Linked DNA regions of Notamacropus eugenii. The protein of the gene in region 2 purifies or fractionates together with the protein of the main gene of each other region. This does not show direct contact. Links are inferred from orthologs where the notes say so. Each region holds a gene or a part of one and is shown on either strand. Other genes may lie near its edges.

Region 1 (7,784 bases), on a different chromosome or scaffold from region 2:
GATAGGAAAGCTGTGGGGCCCAACTAGAGAGCCCAAGGGCCCACAGAGGCACAGAATCAGAGCAGGCAAGGACCCTTCGGCTTCCAGGCCAGCCCACACTGTAGTAGAGAGGAATCCCCATCCTGACCAGCAGACTTTGATACTGACCAGTGTTGGTGCCCTCCCCCCTCCACCTCACCCCTGAGAAGTCTTTTCCATGATGGGACAGTTATATCTCATTGTTGGGAAGCTTCTCCCCCACTGGGCTCAGTCTTATCCTCCAGAGACAAACTGGACAGTCTGCTTAGTTTTGAAGATAGCCCCACGTCCCTCAAATCTTCTCCTTCAACTGATCCTCCTTCCTCATCCTTCATTGGGACACTCTCCACTTAGCAATGAATGGCCTTGTAAGCCCAGAACTGACCAGAACACGCAGATGGGTCTTAGCAGGACAGAGGATGGGGCCTCCATATTCCTGGAAGAGATCTCTCTCTTTATTCAGCTTCTGGCTGCCATGTCACATTATCTCCCATCTCTCGGCCTCTTCTTCACTGTTTCCCATGCCCCATCTCCACCCCTACCTTCCCTAGCTTCCTTCAAAACTCAGATCAAATCCCACCTTGTTCAGGAAACCTTTCCAAGAGAAAAAGACAGAAACAGACAGACAGGGACAGACGGACAGAAGGACAGGAATTAGAAGCAATGGGATATTTTGAATTCTTTTGAAAACCTGTACTCTCCTTTTCCTGTTAATGTTATTACTGTAAGGGGATGACTAGAGAACACCCAGTTTAAAATTTCTAGTAGCAACCCCATCTGCAGAACACACACATCTGGTTCCTCATGTCTTGTCTCCCCCGTAAGACTGAATGGCTGGAGATGGCCCTCAGCTGTAACCTGGAGCCAGCCGGTCAAGGACAAATCCTCTTTGCAACAGTCGGCCCTTTGGACTTGCAAAGACAGCAATCATGCATCCTCTGACTCCAGCTCTGCTTTGGCTAGAAACTTTGAGGGTCTTCCTTCTCAGACTGAATTTTTGTTGTTGACTAGGTAAAGAGGTCATTCTTTGCTTTATTTCTTACCTTGCCTTAACCAGTGAATGGGCACTGCCTCAGTCAAACTGAGACTTGGGAAAGACCTCAGCTTCAAAAGGCATCCTGGGCTATCTCTGGTCGTTCTGATCTGCATCTCACTACTGGACGCAGGGGGCTCCGGAGGAGAAAATGAGGCCAGCGATTTTGCACAGCCCTGCCTCACTTCGATCCAATTTAGGTGCATATCCTGGAAGGACAAACAACTTCTGTGAGTGGAGAATAGGGTCCCCATTGGGGACCCAACTGGAACTGGCCAGTTGGGCAACACAGCTTTATTTCTTCTTCTTCCTCCCTCAGTCCCTCTCTCCCTCCCTCCTCTCCTCTCCTCTCCTCTCCTTCCTTCCTTCCTTCCTTCCTTCCTTCCTTCCTTCCTTCCTTCCTTCCTTCCTTCCTTCCTTCCTTCCCCTCTCTCTCTCTCTTTCTCTCTCTCTTTCTTTCCTCTCTATCCACATAGGGTATTATATTCTTATCTGTGGGTACTCTGCCCAAAGGAATGTAATATTTCATCCCTGAAAGCTTTTTTTCCCCTTAAACATCACTCCTCAAACCCAAATCACTTTGGTTCTCATTGACTGGCCAACAGGAGATTCCAGGTCAAGGCCTTGATTGACTCAGAGTGACTGTAGATAGCAATTGTTTCTGTTTTGGTCTGAAACCCTGATGGTCTTCCCTCCCTAGATTGATTTTTTTTTTAATTAAGTAAAGAGGATATTCTCTGCCTCATTTCTTACCCAGCCTTAATCATTGAATGGATGTTGCCCCAGTCAAACTGAGACCTGTCCAAGACCTTAGCTTAGGTCTAGCCAAAGTCCCCATTGCATCCCAGCCATCTCCAGTTGTCCTGATCTACATCTCACCAGTGGATTCAGATGGCTCTGGTGGAGAAAGTGAGGCTTGTGACTGCACAGCCCTCCCTTACTTCTATCCAATTCACTTGTGTGTCTTGGCATCACCTCCCTGACGTCAAGGTCCTCTTTGAGAACCAAGGACAGTCAACAACAGACTGACCTGCTTGAGAGATGGAAGTCTTTACTCATTTCTTTGGCTCTCCATCACTTAGCAAAGTGCTTGATCCACACAAAGCTCTTCATAAGTGTTTGCTGGATGGTTGGCATGGCAGCGTTGTTGGACATTGTTTGGGGCTGGAGGCCGATTCATCTTCCTGTCTGTGTGAGGGCTCGTCCTTGTCTCCTCATCTTTCCCCTAAGAAGAAGCTGAACCCCTTTATCAGATGCTGGACAAAGCTCTGGCCACCAGCTGCTTGCAGTGTGCCCCTTGATCTGGGGTCTTGTCGCCCTCTTCCCAGCACAGTTTCTGAGTGATGGCACCTCTGGCACTACCAGTGCTCCCACCTCCTCCTTTTCCAGATGCTTGTTTAATGGGCCCTAGAATTTTGCCAGAAAGCAGTCCTGTTCACAGGCCCCCAGGTTGCAGACTTCTCTGTTATGACTATGGGGGCACACACCCTTGGGCAACTCTGCTCCTGTTCTCTCTGACCACTCAAACATCCATTCAGACTGTGGCTCCTCAATCACTGGCCCATTCTTTTGGGACCTGGGCACATGTGTGTGTCCCTCGGTGCTCTCCTTAGCTTAGGGATCAACCGTCTACTAGCTTTTATCATTCCTTTATTTACAGGCGAAGGTCAGGCTCTTTGGGGGCTGGGGTGGGAGCTGAAGCAAAACCCAAGGTGAGCAGCTCTGTCTTTTATCTGGTCCAACCAGAGCAGAAGGGCTTATCTTTCCTTTGATTATGCCCTGCTTGGGCCAAGATTTGGACTTCTTGGGGCAACCCTGAGGGGCTAGGATTTTTAGTATTGTCATTCATGGGTCCCTACTAGTGTGCTTCCAAATAATTATCAACCAGTAGCTCAGTTGGCTTAGAGTAATGGTGTTTAATGAGGAGGGACGGTACAAAGGGTTGATACAAAAATTGTCCCAATCAGAAACATTCTTAACCAGCACACCCAGTGATGGGAGAGCATTGAGCCCAAAGGTAAGAAGGCACCAGTGTAGGGGAAGTGTGTCAAAGGATACCCTCACAGCTCTTGGGGAGCACAAGGCCTTCTCTCTCTGTCTCTCAGTCTTGTCTTCATGTAGTTGCTTCCTTATAGCTCTCTACTGGTCCCTGAGGGTCAATATTTTGGTACAATCCACCCTGAGGGGGGTTCTCACTACTTGAAGTTGCTTCTCTCTTGGTTGGCCATCTTTGTACATCTGCGTTTGTGTGTATTTGTCAAGATTTGCTTTCTGAGTCACCGGCTCTGTTCCAAGCTGAATTTGTGTGTCATGGTCATTGTGGGGTAGGGATTGGCATGCCCCTGCCATTTGCTGCGCTCTCATAGAGGTGTAGGGCTCTGCCACCTCAGGGCCCTGCAGAGCCTAGGGTCCTCCTCAGTGGATGCACTGCTGCGCAGGCCCTGGGAGTGTGTCTGAGTGGGTCAAGTTTAAGGTATCTGTGGGATATCATTCTGAGATGTGTAAGTGGCAGCTGGAGATGCAAGCTGGGACCTTAGGAGAGAGGTGAGGGCTGGATAAACGGATCTGGGAAACAACAGCACAGAGCTGATGGCTACATCCGTGGGATCTAACGGGAGCGCCAGGTCAAAGACTGAGCTTTCCTCCCTTTCCAGAGCCCCCAGCCCAGGACATTTCCAATTCCATCCCAGCAGCCCCTCCCACTTCCCAATGCAATGAGTTTTGCCTCCTATCTCCATTGTCTAGCAGCCTCCCCTGCTTCAGCGCCCTGGCTCAGGGATTTAGTTAGGACCGGAATAGAAATGGCTGCATCTCTCTGGCCCTTTCCGGTTTGCGGAACACTTTGGGGAAGAGAATTAGCGCCCCCGCCCCCGCCATTTTCCAGATGAGCGAATTGAAGCTCAAAGAGAGAAGTCCTGGGGAGCATGGGCAGAACTCTAACCCAGGGCCTCGACACTCCTGGGAGCTGGTGGTGAGAGAGACAGACAGGCAGAGAGACAGACAGGCAGAGAGACAGACAGACAGACAGACGGAGGGAGACAGGGAGGGAGGCCACAGGCCAGTGGACCCACCGGGCTTTTCGCTCGGAGCCCCCCAAGATGAGGGCTCGGGACCCGGGAGAGCGCGAGGAGCCCGGACCCGGGGAGCGCCCCCACCCACCCCGGAGGGCCCGGGGCTTCAGCGATCGGTGAAGCCGCCGGCTTTAGGCGGCCCTGGGCCTGGTTGGACAGCGCCGAGCCCGGCTCCTTCTCCTCCGGCCTCCATCGCCGGGCCCAGGGCTCAGCTGGGGAACCGACCGGGTGGTCCCGGGCCCGGCACGGATGCCAGGCTGTGCCCCCCTCCCCCGCCCTGCCCCCGCAGGCGGGATGCCCGGCCCAGGGGCGAGGGGGAGGGGCGCCCGAGAGCGGGGGGCGGGGCGGGGCCTGTCCCGGAGGGCGGGGCGGGGGCGGAGGAGGAGGGTGGCCACTGAGCGCGGAGCAGAGCCGAGCCAGAGCGGTGAGCTCAGCGAGCGCGGCGGCGGCGTCTGCGGAGGTGCGGGCGCTGCGCGAGGCCGAGCAGCCAGCCGGAGCCCCCCGAGCTCCTCCCAGAGCCCCCCGAGCCCCCCGAGCTCCTCCCAGAGCCCCCCGAGCCCCCGGAGCTCCCCCCGGAGCCCCCCCGGAGCCCCCCCCCGAGCCCCCGGAGCTCCTCCCAGAGCCCCCCCGACCCCCCGGAGCCCCCCCGAGCCCCTGGGCCCAGCGCCCCCTGAGCGCACAGCCCCGGCCCAGCCCCCGCCGCCGCCGCCATGGGGGTGGAAGGCTGCACCAAGTGCATCAAATACCTGCTGTTCGTCTTCAACTTCGTCTTCTGGGTGAGTGGGGGGCCGGCGATCGGGGGGCGGGGGCGGGCCTGGGCGTGGGGGGGTCCTGGCCTGCGGCCGCCGCGATGCGTGTGTGTATGCATGGTGTGTGTGTTGGTGTGGTGTGTGTGTGTCTGTCTGGTGTGTGTGTGTGTGTGTGTGTGTGTGCGTGCGTGGTGTGTGTGCGTGCCTGTCTGTCTGTCTGTCCGGTGTGTGTACGCGGTGTGCGTGGGCACGAACGTGGGGACTTGGGGGGCACAGACAATGGAGGCGCTTCCGAGGGCGCGGATGTTTTGCCAGGGCGATCGGCCCCAGGGAGGGGCGTCCCCAAGGACTGGGAGCGAGGGGAAGTTGTCCAACCACCTGCGAGCGCCTGTCCCTCGGTCCCTCGGTCCCTCGGTCCCTCAGTCGGTCCGTCCAGGCCTCAGTGGGGGCGGTCGGAGCCCGCAGCTGTTGCTGGGCAGCTCTCCCCGCAGGCGCTCTGGGGTGTGGGCACAGCCTCTCTCCGGCTCAGCCCCCTGTGACGCGGGGCGGGGCGCTGGGGGAGCCCTCGGCGTGGGCCTGTGAGTGGGGGCCACCTCGCTTGGGGCCTGGACCGGACTCCCCTCGGATAACGGCCTGGCAGGCCGGGGGGGAGTGGCTCTCGATCCCAGTGGAGCCCCACTCGGGAGATTCCATGACAACCTCGGCTCGGGCCTAGGCCCCACTCGGAGGGGCTGGAGCCAGGCTTGCTCACCCTCCCACGGAGGGGAGTGGACAAGTCCTGCATGAGGGGGACCCAGACCCTGCCAGCCCTGGCATGGGCACCTTCCCCTGGGTTGGCTGCTGTGGGAGCTCACCCAGAAGGCTCGAGATTCGCTTTCTCATGCAGAGGGCTGGGGAAGCTGGCCAGAACAGGCTCCTAGGGAATGTTTGCTGAAGCCACGAGGGAAGAGGGAAAGGGGCGTCTTTCACCCCCCCCCCCCAAAAACGTACATTTCCTCTAAGGTAGGCCAAGTTTCTGAGTGGTGACACCCAAGGCAGGTGACTAGGGGACAGGGCAACCTTTCAGACCCCTTTGGGTTCCAGCTCTGTTCTAAGGGTAAGCAAACAAGTTGGTCTGCCCTTCCTGGGCACGTGGGCCCCTTCCCTCCTGTGGCCCTGCCCCGCCTGCCAGAATCCTAGCTTTAGTGAGCTTGTGTGTTATGTGTAATCTTTGGGTCTTTCTCCAAGGGTGAAGGGCCCTGGGAGGAGCCTGGACTAGGACCACCGGTGGTGCTGGCTCCCCATTCTAGAGCTCCCCAAGGTGTGCAGAGCCCAGGTCCTGCCTGCTAAAGATTACCACCTGTAGTCCTTCGATTTTGTCAGTAAGGGCAATAAAATGAGATTAAGGCCTTGGTGCCCCTCCCCCTTCCCCTGTTTTCCCTTGGGCTCTCTGCCTCCCTCGGGGCTCTGTGTCTTCAGTTGCCGCCTGGGCTGGGGGCTCGAGCTTTCTCTCTCCCAGCCTTAGGTTTTGTGTTTTGTTTTCTGTTTTCCTGGCGTTAGGTTTTACTTTCTGTTGACCCCTGTTCCAGAGGTGGGGGAGGGGGTTTTGTTTCAGTTTCCTGTGCTCAGATTCTTGCTTAATTTTGGAGGGAGGGATGAGCAAGCTGGTGTGTGCGGGTCTCCCTTGTGCAGGCCTGTTCCCTTGCTCTCCTCAGATATCCCCGGGGGACTCTGGGCTCTTGCCCAGGGGGTCCCTTCCTTGGCAGGCAGCCCCCTCAGGTGGAGGGCTCTCAGCCTGATGCCCCCTTTCCCCTTTCATGGAAGGTAAGTGGTTTCCAAGTGGCAGCTTGGGTGGGGTACGTTGTCTGAGCTGAGCAGGGCAGCTAGCCGGTGCAGGTTTGGGGGTCTGGGATGGAGATGGGACTTGTGTGCCTGGAATTCCCCAGAGGGAGCCCTCTGGCCCCCAGGCACCTGGTCTCTAGCCCTGCTGCTGGACACCATGCTCAATAGGAGTGGCTGTCCTTTGGACAGCTCACCTGCTGCTGGCCTGGGAAGGGCAAATAGCAGAGCCCTTATTTGGTAGATGGGCACCCAGAAAGGCAGGAGCCAGGCTGGCCCATGGTGGCTCATGTCAGGAGAGCCAGAGTCTAGACCTGATGCTGGTGCTAACTGATTGTGACCAGGCATAGGCCCTGAGAACAAATGTGAACTTTGCCACTTCTCCCTGTGTGACCCCTCCCCGGTCTCAGTTTCCCCATCTGTAAGATGGACCAGATAATCTTAATTCCCTTCCACCTCTCAGTCTATGATCCCATGTCACTTCTCCCTCTTGAGGCTCAGTTTCTCACTGCCAAGTAGGGGGTGAACCCTACTTTGCTTCCCTCCTAGAGCTGGCCCTGGAGGGTCCAGTTTGGGGAAGGATTGGCACTTCCTGGACCCAAGAGGATGGCACAGAGAGGGTGGGGACCCTTTGAATGTTCTCAACCCTTTCTCACCCCCAACCTCTGAGGTACAACAGACAGAAGGTGACAGAGAACAGCCTTGAGGTTGGGAAATGTGTGTGTACCCAGTTGTTGGGACTTTCTGACCTAGGGAGCCCTGGAGTGCAGAAGAGGGTGCTGTGACCCAGGTTTGTCTTCTGTTCCCCCCGCCCCCAGTGCGTTGGTGGAGCTCTGAGGTTGGCTGGAAGAGGAGGGGGGAAGTGAGTGGTGAGCCTCAGGATGAGGTTTGTGGTCAGGATGCAGGGTCTTCATGATCAGACTGGGGCTCCCTGGGCTTCGGAGGGGTCACCTGCCACAGCGATAGGCTGTTAGGGCCAACCTCAGGAAGGGGCAGGTGGTTAACTGATAAACAAGCGCAATTTTGAGCGCGCATGTTTCCGTTCTCTTCTCCTTTTGTGCTGGTTGTAATTGGCAGGATTTCATTTCTAAACGT
Region 2 (7,959 bases):
TGAGCTTCAGATGGAACATTAGAGATCCTCCAACACAACCCTGTCATTTTAGAGAGAAAGATCTAAGATTTGCCCAAGGTTCTCTGTCCCTGAACAATGGGAGCCTAAGTCTGAAAACTCTTGCTGACTGGCCCCCCTCCCCAAAACAGCCCCCATTCTCTTTTGGGGGGTGCTCTAATCATTAGAAAACTCTTACACTGAATCAACCCCTGGCTGCCTGGAGCCTCCCACCCACTGGTTCTGATGTTGTTCTCTGGAGTAATACAGCCCAGATCAATTTCATTCCCATCAACAGTTAAATGACCCCCCCCCCCCAAAACACTAGCTCCCTTAGAAATCCTCACACCCTCACCTAAGTTGCACCCTGAATCCTTACTCTCAGACAAGGGCTGTCTCACCCACCCATGCCAAAAAAGATTTTCTGGACTCTATTATGCACTACGTACTAATGGAACATGTACAATGGAAAATAAAGAGAATGACTATCAGACAGTAGGGGTCAACCTGAACATTTCATAATTGTGAAACTATTCAAAACTATCATTGGTTACTTTAATAATAAAGTAGACAAGCAATGCTGTTTTAGTACCCAATACGACCTCAGATTATTGATATGTCATAGTCCTTGCTGTGTATAACAAATTTAAAATACAAAAAGCATGCTAACTCCCCCAAACTCTAAGTAATACATATTACTTCTAATTTATGATGTGCTATTTAACTGACTTTTCCCACTTCCCTTTCCAAAACAAAATTTTCTTTCACTAAGCGAAAACTATCCACAGAAACATGTTAGTTAGCTCAACCACAATTTTAAAGCTTTTATAAAGTTTCCCCCAGAAAAGAGCAACAATGATCTAGCAACAAGTAGATTAGGTGGAAAAATTCTATTTTTGTAATGTTAATAAATTCAGTACGTTTAAGTGCTGAGCTAATAAAGTATTTTTAAGAGCTAACGTGAACAAAATAATCAGATATTACATAAAGAAAACAGTCTGAAATGATACAGCAAGAGGTAAAAATTCACATTCTCCCCTGTTCCAGTTACCATCTAGGTGGAATTTTCAATTGAACTATTTACTCCTCCCACTGGTCTTCAGTTTGAAGAGAAGCCCTTCAAGAAAAATAGGAAGAAACCTAGTCACTGGAGTCACTTCCCTTCTTACCCCCCTCCTCTTCCGAAGTCTGCTCAAATCATGCAAACGAAAGCCAACCGATGCAAAATGCAAACAAAACCCCAGAATGTAATTCAGTAAAGCTGTGAAGAGAGGGGAGCTTCGAGAAGGAGAGAGCTACAGCCCGGGTGGAAACGCCATCTTGTTGCAGTTACTGGGCCCAGGCACAGAAGGACCCATTCATTCACAGCAAGGATGAGGGGAGAACTCTCCCCCCACCCCGCCCAGGCAGTCTGCACCGGGCCAGGCGGCCGCCGTGCCCTGCCTGCCCCAGGCCAGCCCCGCTGCCCCCCGCGGGGCGCGGAGCCCTCTGGGGGGCCATCGTTTTGCACCTCATCCCTCCCCCCAAGCCCCCTCTGAAGCAGCTCCGCGCTCGGCAGCAGAGCCAAGGGCTGGGTGCACGTTTCACGAGGTTACAGCTGCCTCTTGACTTCTCCCAGGTCTTTGTTTCTGTTTTAAATCCCCTCCCTCATTTTAGTCAGCTGCCCCAAAAAACCCCCAAGTTTAGTAGGTTCTCAGCTTCCTCATTTTATTGTTCCTGTCTTCTTTAAATAAGCATTCAGTGTCTAAAATTGTAACGTGGAAGTCATCGGCAAAGGAAAAATGCATTTTAAAGTTAAGCGTTTTGTGCCCCAAGTGATTTTGTTACAAAAATTTTCAAGCCACATCTGCTAAAATCTCAACGAATCCCGTGCAAGTGACAAACTGGCATCCTGAAATAACCTCTATTTAAAAAAATCCGAAAGAAGGAGGGGGGGTGGAGAGAAGGTAAGGAAACCCTATTCCCCTTCTCCTCTTCCAGAGTATTTACCGCTTCCTATTCCTTTGTTTACTGGCTTAGAATCAGAATCCCATTTTTGTGGGAGAAAAATCTCACTTTCTCCCAAGAATCTTGAACTTCTCACAATAGGCTGTTGGGGTATTTTTAACTCCATATTCTAGCAATGATTTCCATGGAGACTCGCTCCCTTACTCTGTTCTGGCACACATCCTCCATGATCTTACATATTCCAGTTACATGCACCCAAAAAAAAGCACCACCCTCCCAGATGCAGAAGGATGAAATGCACAGGCACACGCTGGGCAGCAGCTCCTGCCAGCGCGCTTTCGGCTACAACACTCACCCCCCCAACTCTGGGGGCTTCTTTTGGGGGGCTGGGGTTCGCCCACGCCGACACCCCCTTTTGGATTAATCGATTGTCCCCCGTCACACTACACCCAGCTGCCTTCTTGAAAATCTCTTTCACTCCGCTCTTGGGGATCAGTTTCCAAGCCCTTCTCCAGCGCCGGCTCCCCATTGCGGAGGGTCTGGGGGACATCACGAGCGCGCGTGGAAGCCCACGAGGCTCCCCACCGCCCGACCCCGGGGGCCCAGCGAACACTCCCTGCTCCCCTTCCTTCCCCCCCCCCCGGCCGCGTAAGCACCAACCCACCCACTTTTGGGGTAGAAGATGGGGGAGGGGGCAGAAGTGCCCAAATTGACTTTTACCTCTTTGGGTGGCTATTTTTACCGAGAAAGAGGCAAAATGCCGCCGCGGCCCCGCGCAGGTGCGGACACACGCGGCCCCCTCCCCGGCCGGGGGGCCCGGGGGAAGGATGCGGGGGGCAGGGAGGAAACATGGAGACGGGGATGCCGGGCCCGGCGCCGAGGCGGGGCCGGCCGGGGGTCCGGGAGCCCCAGCTCGGGGGCCGCGGCCGGGTCGAGGGGCGCCCACGAGGCGGGCGGGCGGGGGCGCGGGCCGGGAGGGGGCTTACCTCGGCGGGGCCGCTCATGAACGGGCGGGGGCCTCGTCCGCCGCCGCGGGGGCCTGGGCGCCTGGGCCTCCTCCTGCTCCTGCTCCTCCGCCGCCGGGGCTGGGCCGGGCTGGGCCGGGCCGGCCGGGCTCCCGCGGGCCGTCGGCGTCGCTCGGTCCGTCGGTCGGTCGGGCCGTCGGTCAGCCGGCCGGCCGGAGGGTCCTGGGCGGGCGTGTCGAGGCCGCTGCTGCTGCTCCCCCGCCCCGGCTCGCGCCGCTGCCCCGGCCCTCGCGCTCCCGCTCCCGCTCGCGCTCCCGCTCTCGCGCTCGTCCTCTCGCGTCCGCCCTCGCGCCCCCGGCCTCGCGCGCCCGGCCTGGCTCCCGCCGCTGCAGCCGCCGCCTCCGTCCGCCCCTCAGATCCCTCCAGCCATCGGCGATGGGCGCGGCGGGGGCCCCTGCCCGCAGCCTCGGGAAACCCCACGCACCGCCCTGCCCGCCCCCGCCCACCGGCCCCCTCCCCCTCCCCCTCCCCCTCCGCGCGCCGCCGCCCCCGCCCGCCCGCCCCGCCTCAGGGCGCATGCGCCGCGCGCCAGCCAGCCAGCCAGTCAGCCAGCCAGCCAGCCAGCCAGCCAGCCTGCCTGCGGGCGAGCCAGCGAGCCGGGAGCCGGACTGCTGCTCCTTCTCCTTTCTACGTCCTCCCACCCGCCCGGAGCCCCGCCGGCCACCGCCCCGGGCTGGGGAGGGGGGGGGGGCGGGGGAGGGGGAGGGCGCCGGCGGGGCCCCTCCTCTCCTCTGTTCCATACAATGCAGGGCGACCGGCATTTATTCAGCGCCCGCTCCCTTGTGTGCCACCCAATCCAACAGGCATTTATGAAGCACCTACTGTCTTCTGTGCCACCCGATCCAACAGGCATTTATGAAGCACCTACTGTCTTCTGTGCCACCCGATCCAACAGGCATTTATGAAGCACCTACTGTCTTCTGTGCCACCCGATCCAACAGGCATTTATGAAGCACCTACTGTCTTCTGTTCCGTACAATGCAATCCCACCCACACTTATTAATCATCCACAGTCTTCTGTTCCATGCAATCCAACCCGTATTTATGAAGCACCCACTGTCTTCTGCTCCACACAATGCAATCCAACAGGCATTTATGAAGCACCCACTGTCTTCTGTTCCATACAATCCAACCCGCATTTATTAAGCACCTGCTCTCTTCTGTTCCATACAATCCAACAGGCATTTATGAAGCACCTACTGTCTTCTGTTCCATACAATCCAACCCGCATTTATTAAGCACCTGCTCTCTTCTGTTCCATACAATCCAACAGGCATTTATGAAGCACCCACTGTCTTCTGTTCCACACAATCCATCAGGCATTTATTAAGCACCCACTGTATTCTGTTCTATACAATGCAATCCAACAACCCACACTTATTAATCATCTACTGTCTTCTGTTCCATGCAATCCAACCCGTATTTATGAAGCACCCACTGTCTTCTGCTCCACACAATGCAATCCAACAGGCATTTATGAAGCACCCACTGTCTTCTGTTCCATACAATCCAACCTGCATTTATTAAGCACCTACTCTCTTCTGTTCGATTCAATCCAGCAAACCTCTGTTAGTCAGTGCACATTTACTAAACTCCTATTATATGCTTGGCTCTATACTAAGCTGGGAATACAAAGAAAGACAAAAACAGTCCCTTCTTTCAAGGAGCTCCCAGTCCTCATTGGGGGAGACAGATAAGATGCCAACAACCCTGGAAAAACAGGACATATATGCAGGATAATATGGAGGTGATCATTAGAGGGAACACACACCTATTAAGAGGGACCAGGAAAGGCTCCTTGTAGAGATGGGGTTTTTAGCTGGGCCTAGAAGAGAGCCAGGAGGCAGAGAATTCTGGGCATGGGGGAGGAAGGGGCAATAACCTGGGAGAATGCCCTGAGAATGACATTTCTTTTTGTTGTTCAGTCAAGTCAGACTCTTCCTGAAAAGCAATGCTGCAAAATTACGAAGAACAAGGGCCAATGGGAAGACAAGATAGGAGAAAAGGTCTATCCTCATGCTTTTGCATGGGGAGTAGGTCCATAGGGGTGGAACATGGCATATATTTTCAGACTTTTTTCAATATATTGATTGTTTTGTGATTTTTTTTTCCTACTTCATCTTTAAAAAAATTATGTGGTGACTGAGGGAGGAAAGGAAGAGAAAAAGGGACAAATTTAGGCAATAAATCAATAAAAATGTATCTGTTTATTTGTTTAGAAAAAAAGATAGATTGGAACCAGATTCTGAAGTCTTTAAACACTAAACAAAAGTCAGGATTTCCTTTGAGGTGGGTACAGGTAGAGTTGCTGGGCCTGGAGTCAGAAAAATGAGTTCAATTTGGCCTCAGACCCTAGCTAGCTGTGTGACCCTGGGCAAGTCACTTAACTTCTGCCTCAGTTTCTTCAACTTAAAATAGGGATTATAATAGTAGTTGCCATCTAGAGTTGTTCTGAGGATCAAATGAGATGATAAAGCACTTAGTACAGTGCCTGATCCATATATAAATGCTAGCTATTTTATTATTCTTATTTGTTGCAGTTGTTATCTTATAAGCAAGCACCCTGACATACACAGGAGGGCCTGCTGTACAGGTCTGATCTGCTTTTCTAAAAGAAAAGACAACTTAATGAAACCACTTTCATCAAGCACGTATATATTATTCACTTAGTTCAGGGGAAAAAGTCAGCATCCTGAACTTCAGAGAAAATACAGAGAAATAAACATCAACAGACAGGGCTTCCAACTGCCTGACCATAAGCAGTACATACATCACAGATCAGCAGATAGATCCAACTGTCCAACTATAGATACATAGTTACCAGAGAAAGAAGCACCAAAATCTGGGTTTTCAAAGCCGGAGAGCTCCTTAGCAGCTTCTCAGAGTCTCATCTGGAACACAAACCTTCTTCCAAAAACTAATCCCCAAAGTAAAACTTCACCTCAGAGTATGTATACCCTTTTCAGAGCTGGAGGGCATGACCTTCTGACCTAGGGTCTCAATAAAAATTAACAAAAGGTCCTTGAGGCCTATTTATGGGTGGGGAAGATCTAATTAACATTATATTATCCTAGAGGCAGTTTCTGAAATTTCTCAAGCAGGTGAATGACACAGTCAAGTTTGTTCTTTAGCATGCCCAGCTTCTGCTCCTTAGGAATATCAATTTGGCAGAAATTTGGAGATGATAACTTGAGAGGAAAGAGACCAGAAGCTGGGAGATCAGTGGAGATGCTACTACAGTAATCCAGGTGATGCAGGATTGAATCAGGGTATCTATAAAGTGAGTGGAGAGAAGAGGAGCTGATGTGAGAGATGTTGAAAAGGTAGAATCAATAAGACTTGACAAATTAATTAGATATGGAAATTAATAAGAGTTCCCCATGCCTGGAACATCCTCCTCATCTCCACCTCCTGGCTTCCCAGACTTCTTTCAAGTCTCAGCTAAAGTGGCATCTCCTACAGAAAGCCTTTCTTAGTCCTCCTTAATCTTAGTGCCTTTCCTGAGAGGCTACCCCCAACTACCCTATCTACATCTTACTTGTAAATAATTATTGATCTATTGTTTTCCCAATTAGACTATGATCACCTTGAGAGAAGGAACTGGTTTTGGGCTTTTTTTTTGGTGTTGTCTTTTTTCTTTTTTGGCCTTTTTTGGTAACCTCAGTGCTTAGCACAGTACCTGGTACACAGTAGTTGACTGATTCACTGATCTCTGAGTGAAGGGTAGTGGATGGATGGAGTAACTCTTTTCATCACAGTCTTTCAGGGAATATCATTTCTATTGGAGCTGTGTCTCTCTGCAACCAGAGGCTTACAACATTAACTACCTCCTTCATCACCACCAGGGACAATTGAGATCATTTTGGTCAGTTGTGCTTCTTGTATACACACCCACCTTCTGCTCCTTAGCCAATCAACAAGCTCCTTGTCTTTACACAGTAATCACCAGGGAATAGTCAGGCAATACCCAGAACTGACTCTTCCATTCGTCATGGCCAGAAGCAGTCTCTCCAAACTTCATCCAGACAAGTAGAGGGTTTTATCAGATAGCACTCACTTTGTATGTTCTTAAGAATTAGCTTTTCATCATTGCCCAATCCTTACTTGATCAACTTGAGAAAATCATTTTATTCTGTGTCAAGTATGTACTAGTTCCTAAAGGCTTAAAGATAAAAACAAAACTGTTATGATTTTAGGTGATGGAGCTGGGAGGGGCTTTGGAAATTATCTATTCCAAATCTCTCATTTTGCAAAGGAGAAGACTGAGGCCCAGAAAGGAGAAAGGGCTTGTCCAAGGTTGTGTACAGAGAATGACTGAACTAAGGCAAGAACATGGGTCTCTGACACCAACCTTGGACTTTTCCAGTTCCTCTAGGAGGCCTTTAGCCTGGACTTAGATGAACATGGTGGTTTTTCTTTCTGAGTGGACAAGAAAGATACAGGTTCTCAGTTCTTCAGAGTTTCATTGAGCCCTCTGGGCCTAAGAAAGGATGTGCTTGAAATGTACCCTTGTAAGGCAGTCCAGCATATCAGATCTCAAACTCTATTATAAAACAGTAATTATCAAAACAATCTGGTACTGGCTAACGAAAGTGTGGTGGATCAGTGGAATAGATTAGGTACAAATTACATTATAGTAAATGACCATAGTAATCTAGTATATGATAAACCCAAAGATCCAAGCTTTTGGCACAAAAACTCATTATTTTACAAAAACTGCTGGGAAAACTTGCCAGGCCTAGAGGCCTGAGGGCTACCCGAGTCTTACCTTACCTCTATCGCAGGTCTTCGGTTGGCCAAACCGGATAAACGTATGAGAGAAGAGACTTTACGGAATCGAACAAGGGTTAGGCTTTTATTCAGGGTCCTGGTTACAAGTGCAGGGGGAATTCTTCCTTAGGAGGGAGCGAGGAATCTCCCAAGGAGGCAAAGATCTTATAATAAGAGATTGGAAGCAGAAGTGTAAGTGGGGAGAGAGGGGGAGGGGAGA
Region 3 (7,317 bases), on a different chromosome or scaffold from region 2:
CAAACAAAAAAGCACCCAAAAGAGATAAGCCTTGCAATCCACTCAGGAAAAAACAAGTGGATGAAGAATGAATATTGTCCAAATTATGACATGCAGTTGCACAGAGAGCCCATTGAGTTAGTCTCTCAGTACATATTTATCTCACAAAGGCATTACAGGTAGCCCAGATGAGCTGGGTCCTGAAATGAATAGGTAGTTTAAGATCGGGTTGAATTACAGCGGGGCAGCTGAATACCACTTCGTGTAATTACAAACTGATCCCTGCCACAAAAGCCCTTCTTTTTATCCACGGTAGTTTCCAGATGATGCTATGAGTGTGAAGCATGGAATTCTACAATCTCAAAAGAATCAACACTCAGCTGACCCAAAGTGCAGTGAAAAGCTGCATGGTAGGCAAAAGTAGGGTGTGGCGTATTACCAAAGAAGTTAGAGTAAGAAGTTGTGTAACAGATGGGCAGACAGACTGCTACACTGGCACCCTGGAAATGTTAAAAGAGTCAAGGGAATGCTACCAGCCCACTGGGTAGATCAGCTATGGAGAAATGGAAAGACAAAGACAAGAACTGCACATGCTCATAGAATGTGGATGAGTTGTAACTTGTGCCACGGAGGGAGCCCCTACACTGATGAAGTCACAGATCTTCAGAGGTATACGTGTTTTTTTACCCTCCACTAAACTGGGACTACCCTCCAGAGCTGGCACATCTCTGCTCACAGGGGGTACTCGATATGTGGTAATTGCCAAGTCAAGCACATATAACACCCAGAGAAAGACAAAGGCAACAGAGAAAGATGGGAAGACAGTGATAGGCCTAGAATCAAACAAAAAGGAGGTTCACTCGACCTAGAACCCAGGGGCTCACCCTGCTTCATGGCATGCTTCTCCTGCAGAGCGGGCTGAATTTTTTCCATCTGCTTAGTGAGGAAGTCAATCTTCCTCTTGAAGAAGTCTTTAGCATCATCTGCTGACTGCCAAAGGAGGAGAAGTTAATGACCCTCATGGACTCTTGGGGAGAGATATCCCAACTGTCCTGTCAATGATGCCATCTCCCAACCCCTCCTCTTGCACCAACTTACCTTCTCCACATAGTAGCCAGTTCCTACATCAATGAGAACATGCTCCACATCATGTAGCTTCCCAGGTACATACATCTGAGGGGTGAGGATTAAGGAAAGGGCTGGCCCAGCCTGGGACACCTTCACTTTCCCTCTCAAAAGCCAGAAGTTCTGAAGCTAGAGAGTTGTGAACTTAGTATAGTGTGAAATGGACAGAGGAGGAGAACGGTCAAGGCATTCTCTGTGAACAGAGAGCCCTAAAGAAACCATAAGAAGGTGCCCTATAACTGAAAATTTCATTTCCACCTGCTCACATTCAAAAACAAATCCATTTCTCTTCCTGAAATGTTAACTCCCATTGGTACTCATATTGATAAAGGATAACTTTCCACAAGCCTATTAAATATATAGGCAGTGGAAAAGTAGCACAGTGGACAGAGTACCAATTCAGATTCAGCCTCAGACATAGCTGTGTGACCCCAGGCAAGTCACATAATCCTATCTGCCTCCATTTCTTCATCTTTAAAGTGTGCATATCCAGCATAAAATAAGCTGGAGAAGAAATAGCAAACCACTCTAGTATCTTTGCCAAAAAAATCTGGAGTCATGAAGAGTCAGGCATGACTGAACACCACCACCAAATATAAAACTCAGGCCTCACTTCCAAACCCACCAACAACTTGGCTCCTGATTTACATGTATTTATATGTGAAGTCATTCAGCGTCTATTAGTTAACTGTTTATCTTCCATCAGTACTTATTTATGTTTAAGGAAGTTTATTAGACTACAGAATACAGGGATTTTCTCTATAAACCTGACGTAGGCAATGTCCAGAATAGCCTGTTGAAGTATAGTGACACATGGTAAAGGGATAGTTAATCTCAAATTGTGAAGCAATACCCACAAAGTCTTCTTCCTTCCCTCATCTCTATTTCTCTGTGACTCGTATGTAGTTTACTAATAAGCTTCTAAGGGACAAGGATATTGCTTGATCTCAGCTCTACTAATCCTGTGGTAGCCAGGACATTGTCTTATACTCAATCTGATTAGGGGACTCCAGGGGACTCAAAGGGCCAGTATAAACTTGAATCAGGTAGTTGCAATTAACTCTTTCCCTTCCCACTGATCACCTGAACTTAAGTATCTGAAGAGAGCTGAGGTTAGATCATGGCAAGGTAGCTAAGAAACATCCTCTGGCCCCATGTGAGCGAGGAGTTTTTTCAATCAAGTACGGAAAGGACTCTGCCCAAGGAACCAAAACCGTTTTCTAGGTGGGAAGGAAACCGGCAGTCTCCAGTGGAAGGATACAGAACTGGTCAATGGCACGAGTAATTCTTTCCCTGTGAAGGTAACAGAGATAAACACCAGGGGACGACGCTAAAAGGAAACCCAACCAGGAGGTTTTCCAGGCTGGAACTACTCAATCTGATAACCAAAAATGAGCGAGGAGAAAAGAAGAAGGAAGGGGGAGCTTCTGACATTTGGCATTTAAGTCAAAGTGTGAAAGAAATGGAAGGCCTTTGGTGTGAGGCTGGAGGGGGCAGAGAAGGCTTTCTGAAGAGCTGCTTCTCAAACTTGGGCGATGGGTTACTACAGAAAAGCCCAGCCCACACCCTCGCCCTCTCCGGCCCTCTCCCCCTCCCCTTCCCCCGCCCCCCCACCCCCATACCCTCGTTGCTCTTGTTGAGCACGTTCAGACACTCCTTGGCCTCCACGTATTTGGTCTGGACAACCTTGAGCTGCGCGATGGATGAGGAGAGAAACTCCACCTCCTGTAAGGGGCGCGGGGAGAGACAAGAATGAGGGGGGGCCCGGCGCGGACGGGCGGGGTCCGGGGTCCGGGGCGCCCCGGGCCGGCCTCACCTGGTCCAGCTGGTTCTTGAGCAGCTCGAGCTGCGGCAGGGACAGCTCCGTGATGTTCACCGACTGCGCCATGTTGGGAGGCTGGGCGAGGGCGGGGCGCGCCGGGCGTGGGAGGCGCTCTAGCCACCCGCCGGCCGCGTCTCTATGGCACCCGGAGGCGCCCGCCCGGCCCGCGCTCTCTATGATCCTGGGCCGTCAGCCTCCCGCGGGCCCACTGCTCCCGGAGCGCCGCCCCCCGCCCCCCCCCAGCCTCCCCCCGCCCCGCCCCGCCCCGCCCCGCCCCGCCCCGCCGGCCATAATGTATCCAGCATGTTGCCCTGCAGTGTGCGGAGTAGAAATACAGTGCTACTCAGAGTCGTGTCCGGATCGTGTTCCCTTCGCCACGCTCGGGATCCCCCAACTGCCCCGGGGAAGGGGGCATCTCACTGAGGCTTTCGGGGCCGAAAAGGTGGGGAGGCAGGACGGGAGTCCCGGGTTCGAGTGCTGGCCCGACTCGCGCAGGCTGCATCCTAAGTGTCAGTTTCTTAGTCCTCCTGGCAGTACTCTGATACTAAGTGGCAGATTTTCGGAAAGGATTTCCTCCCACCGGCCTGCTCCCCGGCCGCAGTTCCTGGCACACCAGGAGGCCCTTAGCGCTTGGTGACTGAGCGCACTGGGCATCACATCCTCCAGGCCACCCTGGAAGGCAGCCTTCTGGTACTCGGATCTCAGAGCCAGGGCCAAGGTCTTTGAAAGGCCACTGGACCCCGCTTGCCCCTCCGCTCCTCCTCAGAAATGTTATCTGTTGGGAGAGTCAGTTCCACTAGTCTCTAATGGCCACACCACTGCCCCACACTCAGTACTCCTCACTCCTTCTGCCTTAAATGTTGGCCTTTAAGTGAAATAACGAGAAGAGGAGGCACAAAGCAAGGATAGCCAGGGTGGTGGAAACTTAACAGTACAAAGCACCAACAAAGAAGGTGCACGGCAAGGGCTGGGAAATGCTTTTAGTAATCCCTCCGGAGAAACCAGACACAACAAAGTTTAAGTAATAACTTTATTACAGTGAGTAAAAACACATACTGAAAAAATCAATTAAATATTCAACCGGAGTTGGGGGTTTTTCAGAAGTAGGGTGTTTGAACAAAGAAACCAGAGGTAAGGACTATAAGGAGACTTCTTCTGGGTATCACTGCAGGGAGACAGGTAAGCCATAAGCTACTGGGGCAGCACCGATGAGGTATTTGAGTCTGGGAGCCTGGCGTGCCTGGATGACATAGGAGAGGAGGGGCGCTCCTGAGCCAGCCTCCAGCCAGCCCTGCAGCAGCGCTTCTGTGTAACGGTCTATTTCTCTGTCTGTCACATCCCACAGGTTCCCCAAGAACAGGGGGCTAGAAGAACAGAGGAAAAGAGGTTAAGAAAAGGCCTGGGATAGATCTATAAGAGCTAAGAGGGAAAAAAAACCCAAAACCATTTGCCAGTTCATTTGGGGGACAGAGTTGGGGCAAAGGTGGGCCATAAGAGAGCTCTGGATACGGGATAATGAAGAAAAGGAAAGAATTGGCTGAGCTATGGCTCAGAATTCAAAGCTGGAGTGTGTGTGTGTGTGTGTGTGTGTGTGTGTGTGTGTGTGTGTGAGAAAGGGAAAGCTAGAGAGAATCAGAAAGCCCTAGAGTGAGCCACCTGGGGGGGGAAGGGGGAGAAAGGGAAGAGGGGGCTTGGGGGAAAGTTCTCTATTTCTCCAAAATCAATGCTCCTGGTCAAGACTCACCAGCCTGCGATGATGTACTTGAGAACGATGCCAGCCCCCTCCAGGTTCCCCTGTACAGCCAGGGCAGCACTGCTACACCCAAACAACAAGGCCACTGCTCGACAGTTGAGCCGCTGGATTGCCTGCCCGTCCAGGAAAGAGGCACCAGCCCCGTGCCCTGCATAACTGATGCAGAAGTGGAATGAGCTACAGCCTGTGACTCAGTTTCTCTTCCTTAAACTACCCTTTCTTTTCACTCTCCCCTACATCATCAACAGCTCCTTCCTGCAGAACTTTTCTCAGTAAATAAGAGTTCTGCAGCCTCAGTTTTCAAGAGGTCTCCTAAGAAAGGGTAACAGGACCCAGATGACCCCATTCTTGTCCCTTTGGGGATGTAGTCTCTTCCCACCCCAGTACTCACATATACAGATCATGCTCTGTCAAGGCTGCCTGGACCTGTTCTTGGCTTGGGGCCTCACCAACCAGTCCCTTCCAGCCAGTCTCACTGTGGAGAGGAATAAACTATAACAAAGTGCAATGGAAGAAAAAACAACAGGAAAAAAGGCCCAAAGTAAAGGAGATACTAAAGAGGTGACACCAGGGAACCCGTTTTCCTGACCGCCCCTCCCTGTCAGGCGTCTAGGAGTGGACCCTTGAACATTCTTCTTTCTTTACCCATCCCACCTGCAGAAGCGTGCTCGGAACCGCTCCTCTGTGTTTCCCAAATTGTTCTGTGGGTTCAGGATGTAGAAGGTACTTTGTGGATTCACTCCCCGGTTCCACACTGATGAAGCCTGGGTCTGCATCAGTAAGATAAATGTTCATTATCCCCTAATCTGACAGAGCTGGGACCTTGATGTCTTAAGTCTTTATTCTACTGCCTTGCCACAAGCCTGTTGGGCAGATGCTAGAGATATTATCTCTATTTTAGATATGGGATCAAGTCCCAATATAAGAATGATCTTGAAATGACATCCTTTAACAAGGCGCTGTAGAGAAGTGTTAGGTGTCACTTATGACAGCAGAGGGCAGCAGAGGTCTTGACTGGGGCCAGCCAAGGAAGCTCTTAGCTGAGATAAAAGGAATAAGCGAGATAGACTGGGTAGGAACATGCAGAAGAAATTCAGAAAGAGTGGCAGAGAATGGATTGCCAATAAGGCCTAGAAAAGAAAAATCCCAGGAATAAGCGAAAGGGTCTAAAACTAGGTTAGGCAGGTAGTTGCAGGTGCCAGGGTTAAGGGAAACAGAAAGCTGGGAATCTAATTTCAAAGGCTTGGGAGTTGAAGTCGAGGGAGGCAGATGGATGTACCTCTGGTCAGAGGTAAATCCAGACCTGGCCAGGGGTGTGACCTTTTCACAACCTTTCATGCACCTCATGACTTATATCCTTGAATTCCTCAAAGGATGCTTCCCTGCTGGCCCATACCTGCCCCATCACACAACTTTGAGTGCTGGAACTTGTTTAAGTGATCACACCACAGTGAAAGAGCTAGTAAACAGAAGTCAAAGCTAAGTCTCTGACCCACTCCACTTGGGGAGAGCCAGAGCAGCAAAGGGAGGGAGGCCTGGACCATAAAGTCTTTTTCCTTCCCAAAGGGTATCTTTTTTTGGGGGCGGGGAGGTGAGAAGGGGAAAACAGGAGGGGAAATGTTGAATAGACAGGGTTGATAGAAATCAGGGTTAGATGTGAAACAAAGAAGGTAGTCACTGGATTGGAGATAATGATCTGGACTTCAGGAAAGGCTCCAATTTAGGTGTCTTCCAGTTTCCAGGAGTCCTGTCCCTGAATGGAGGTGGAACCTGTGACTCCTCACCTGGAGGAACTTCCTACAACATTAATTGGCATGTTTATAAGTTAATCTTGGCTCAATGAAACTTGATTTAAAGTCAGTCTAGGTTGCTTATAACTCTCCTAAAGGAACCAAGAAATAATGGTGATAAGGGCTATATGTAGAGTAGAATGAAATGTGAACATAATTATATGTTACAGCAAACTAAATCAGTGACAAAATAAAGAAACTCAAACGTCTTGGAAGAGACACGGCAGCATAAATGTTATCGTAAAATCAGATGGGTGCCTTTGTTTTGTCAGTCTGAGGGAGGGTAAACATCAGTTTTCAGAAGAATGAGATGAGGTTTGTGGAAAGGCCATAGACTGGAACGCAGTCTGCCACCAGCAGACATGACAGGTGGATAGGAGGCCCTGGAAGGAGCCAGAATGGAGGAACACATGTGCCATTGTTATCTGCCAGGACAAGGACAGTCACTCTGAGATGGAGAAAGTCACAAACCTAAGCACTGATGGACATGCAAGAACTGAGGGCTTTCTAGCTTGAAGGATGGTAAAGGCACAAACCTGATGAATAAGGTTGTAGTGACCTATCACAACAGCAAGAACCATGAATGATACTGGATTACTAGGGAAGCCTTGAAGCAAGTATGACCAGCTACACTTGGGTTTAAATCTCCCCATAAGATGAAGCTATGCCCTGAGCACGACCCTAGAGGGTATATAAAGAATATGCAATGTGAAAAGCTGTAAGCCAGCAGAAAGGCCTGGGGCTACTGCTGATTTTCAGTGAAAGGCACAAATTCTGAATGAGGGTTGAGTGGCCATCAAGTTTTCAAGGCATAGTCACCTGCTCTGTAGGTAGTTCCCAGAATTCTG

Evidence for each region.
Region 1: the proteins of GNB1 (region 2) and CD81 purify together in Homo sapiens (co-immunoprecipitation; 4 studies listed by BioGRID and IntAct, with this or other methods). This does not show direct contact. The link is inferred for Notamacropus eugenii from reciprocal best matches to the Homo sapiens genes GNB1 and CD81.
Region 3: the proteins of GNB1 (region 2) and PFDN5 purify together in Homo sapiens (co-immunoprecipitation; 3 studies listed by BioGRID and IntAct, with this or other methods). This does not show direct contact. The link is inferred for Notamacropus eugenii from reciprocal best matches to the Homo sapiens genes GNB1 and PFDN5.

What each region holds. Positions count from the first base shown.
Region 1 is NC_092873.1:25,498,849-25,506,632, reverse strand, and holds the start of CD81 (CD81 antigen), read left to right. Parts: upstream 1-4,702; 5' UTR 4,703-4,832; coding exon 4,833-4,898; intron 4,899-7,784. UniProt on the Homo sapiens protein: Structural component of specialized membrane microdomains known as tetraspanin-enriched microdomains (TERMs), which act as platforms for receptor clustering and signaling.
Region 2 is NC_092876.1:35,710,815-35,718,773, forward strand, and holds the start of GNB1 (guanine nucleotide-binding protein G(I)/G(S)/G(T) subunit beta-1), read right to left. Parts: upstream 3,070-7,959; 5' UTR 2,931-3,069; intron 1-2,930. UniProt on the Homo sapiens protein: Guanine nucleotide-binding proteins (G proteins) are involved as a modulator or transducer in various transmembrane signaling systems.
Region 3 is NC_092874.1:226,235,819-226,243,135, reverse strand, and holds the start of PFDN5 (prefoldin subunit 5), read right to left. Parts: upstream 3,060-7,317; 5' UTR 2,993-3,059; coding exon 2,921-2,992; intron 2,830-2,920; coding exon 2,727-2,829; intron 2,398-2,726; coding exon 2,366-2,397; intron 1,153-2,365; coding exon 1,078-1,152; intron 970-1,077; coding exon 864-969; intron 1-863. Other genes in the region: ESPL1 (separin), read right to left, coding at 4,089-4,290, 4,671-4,835, 5,071-5,154, 5,334-5,449. UniProt on the Homo sapiens protein: Binds specifically to cytosolic chaperonin (c-CPN) and transfers target proteins to it. Binds to nascent polypeptide chain and promotes folding in an environment in which there are many competing pathways for nonnative proteins.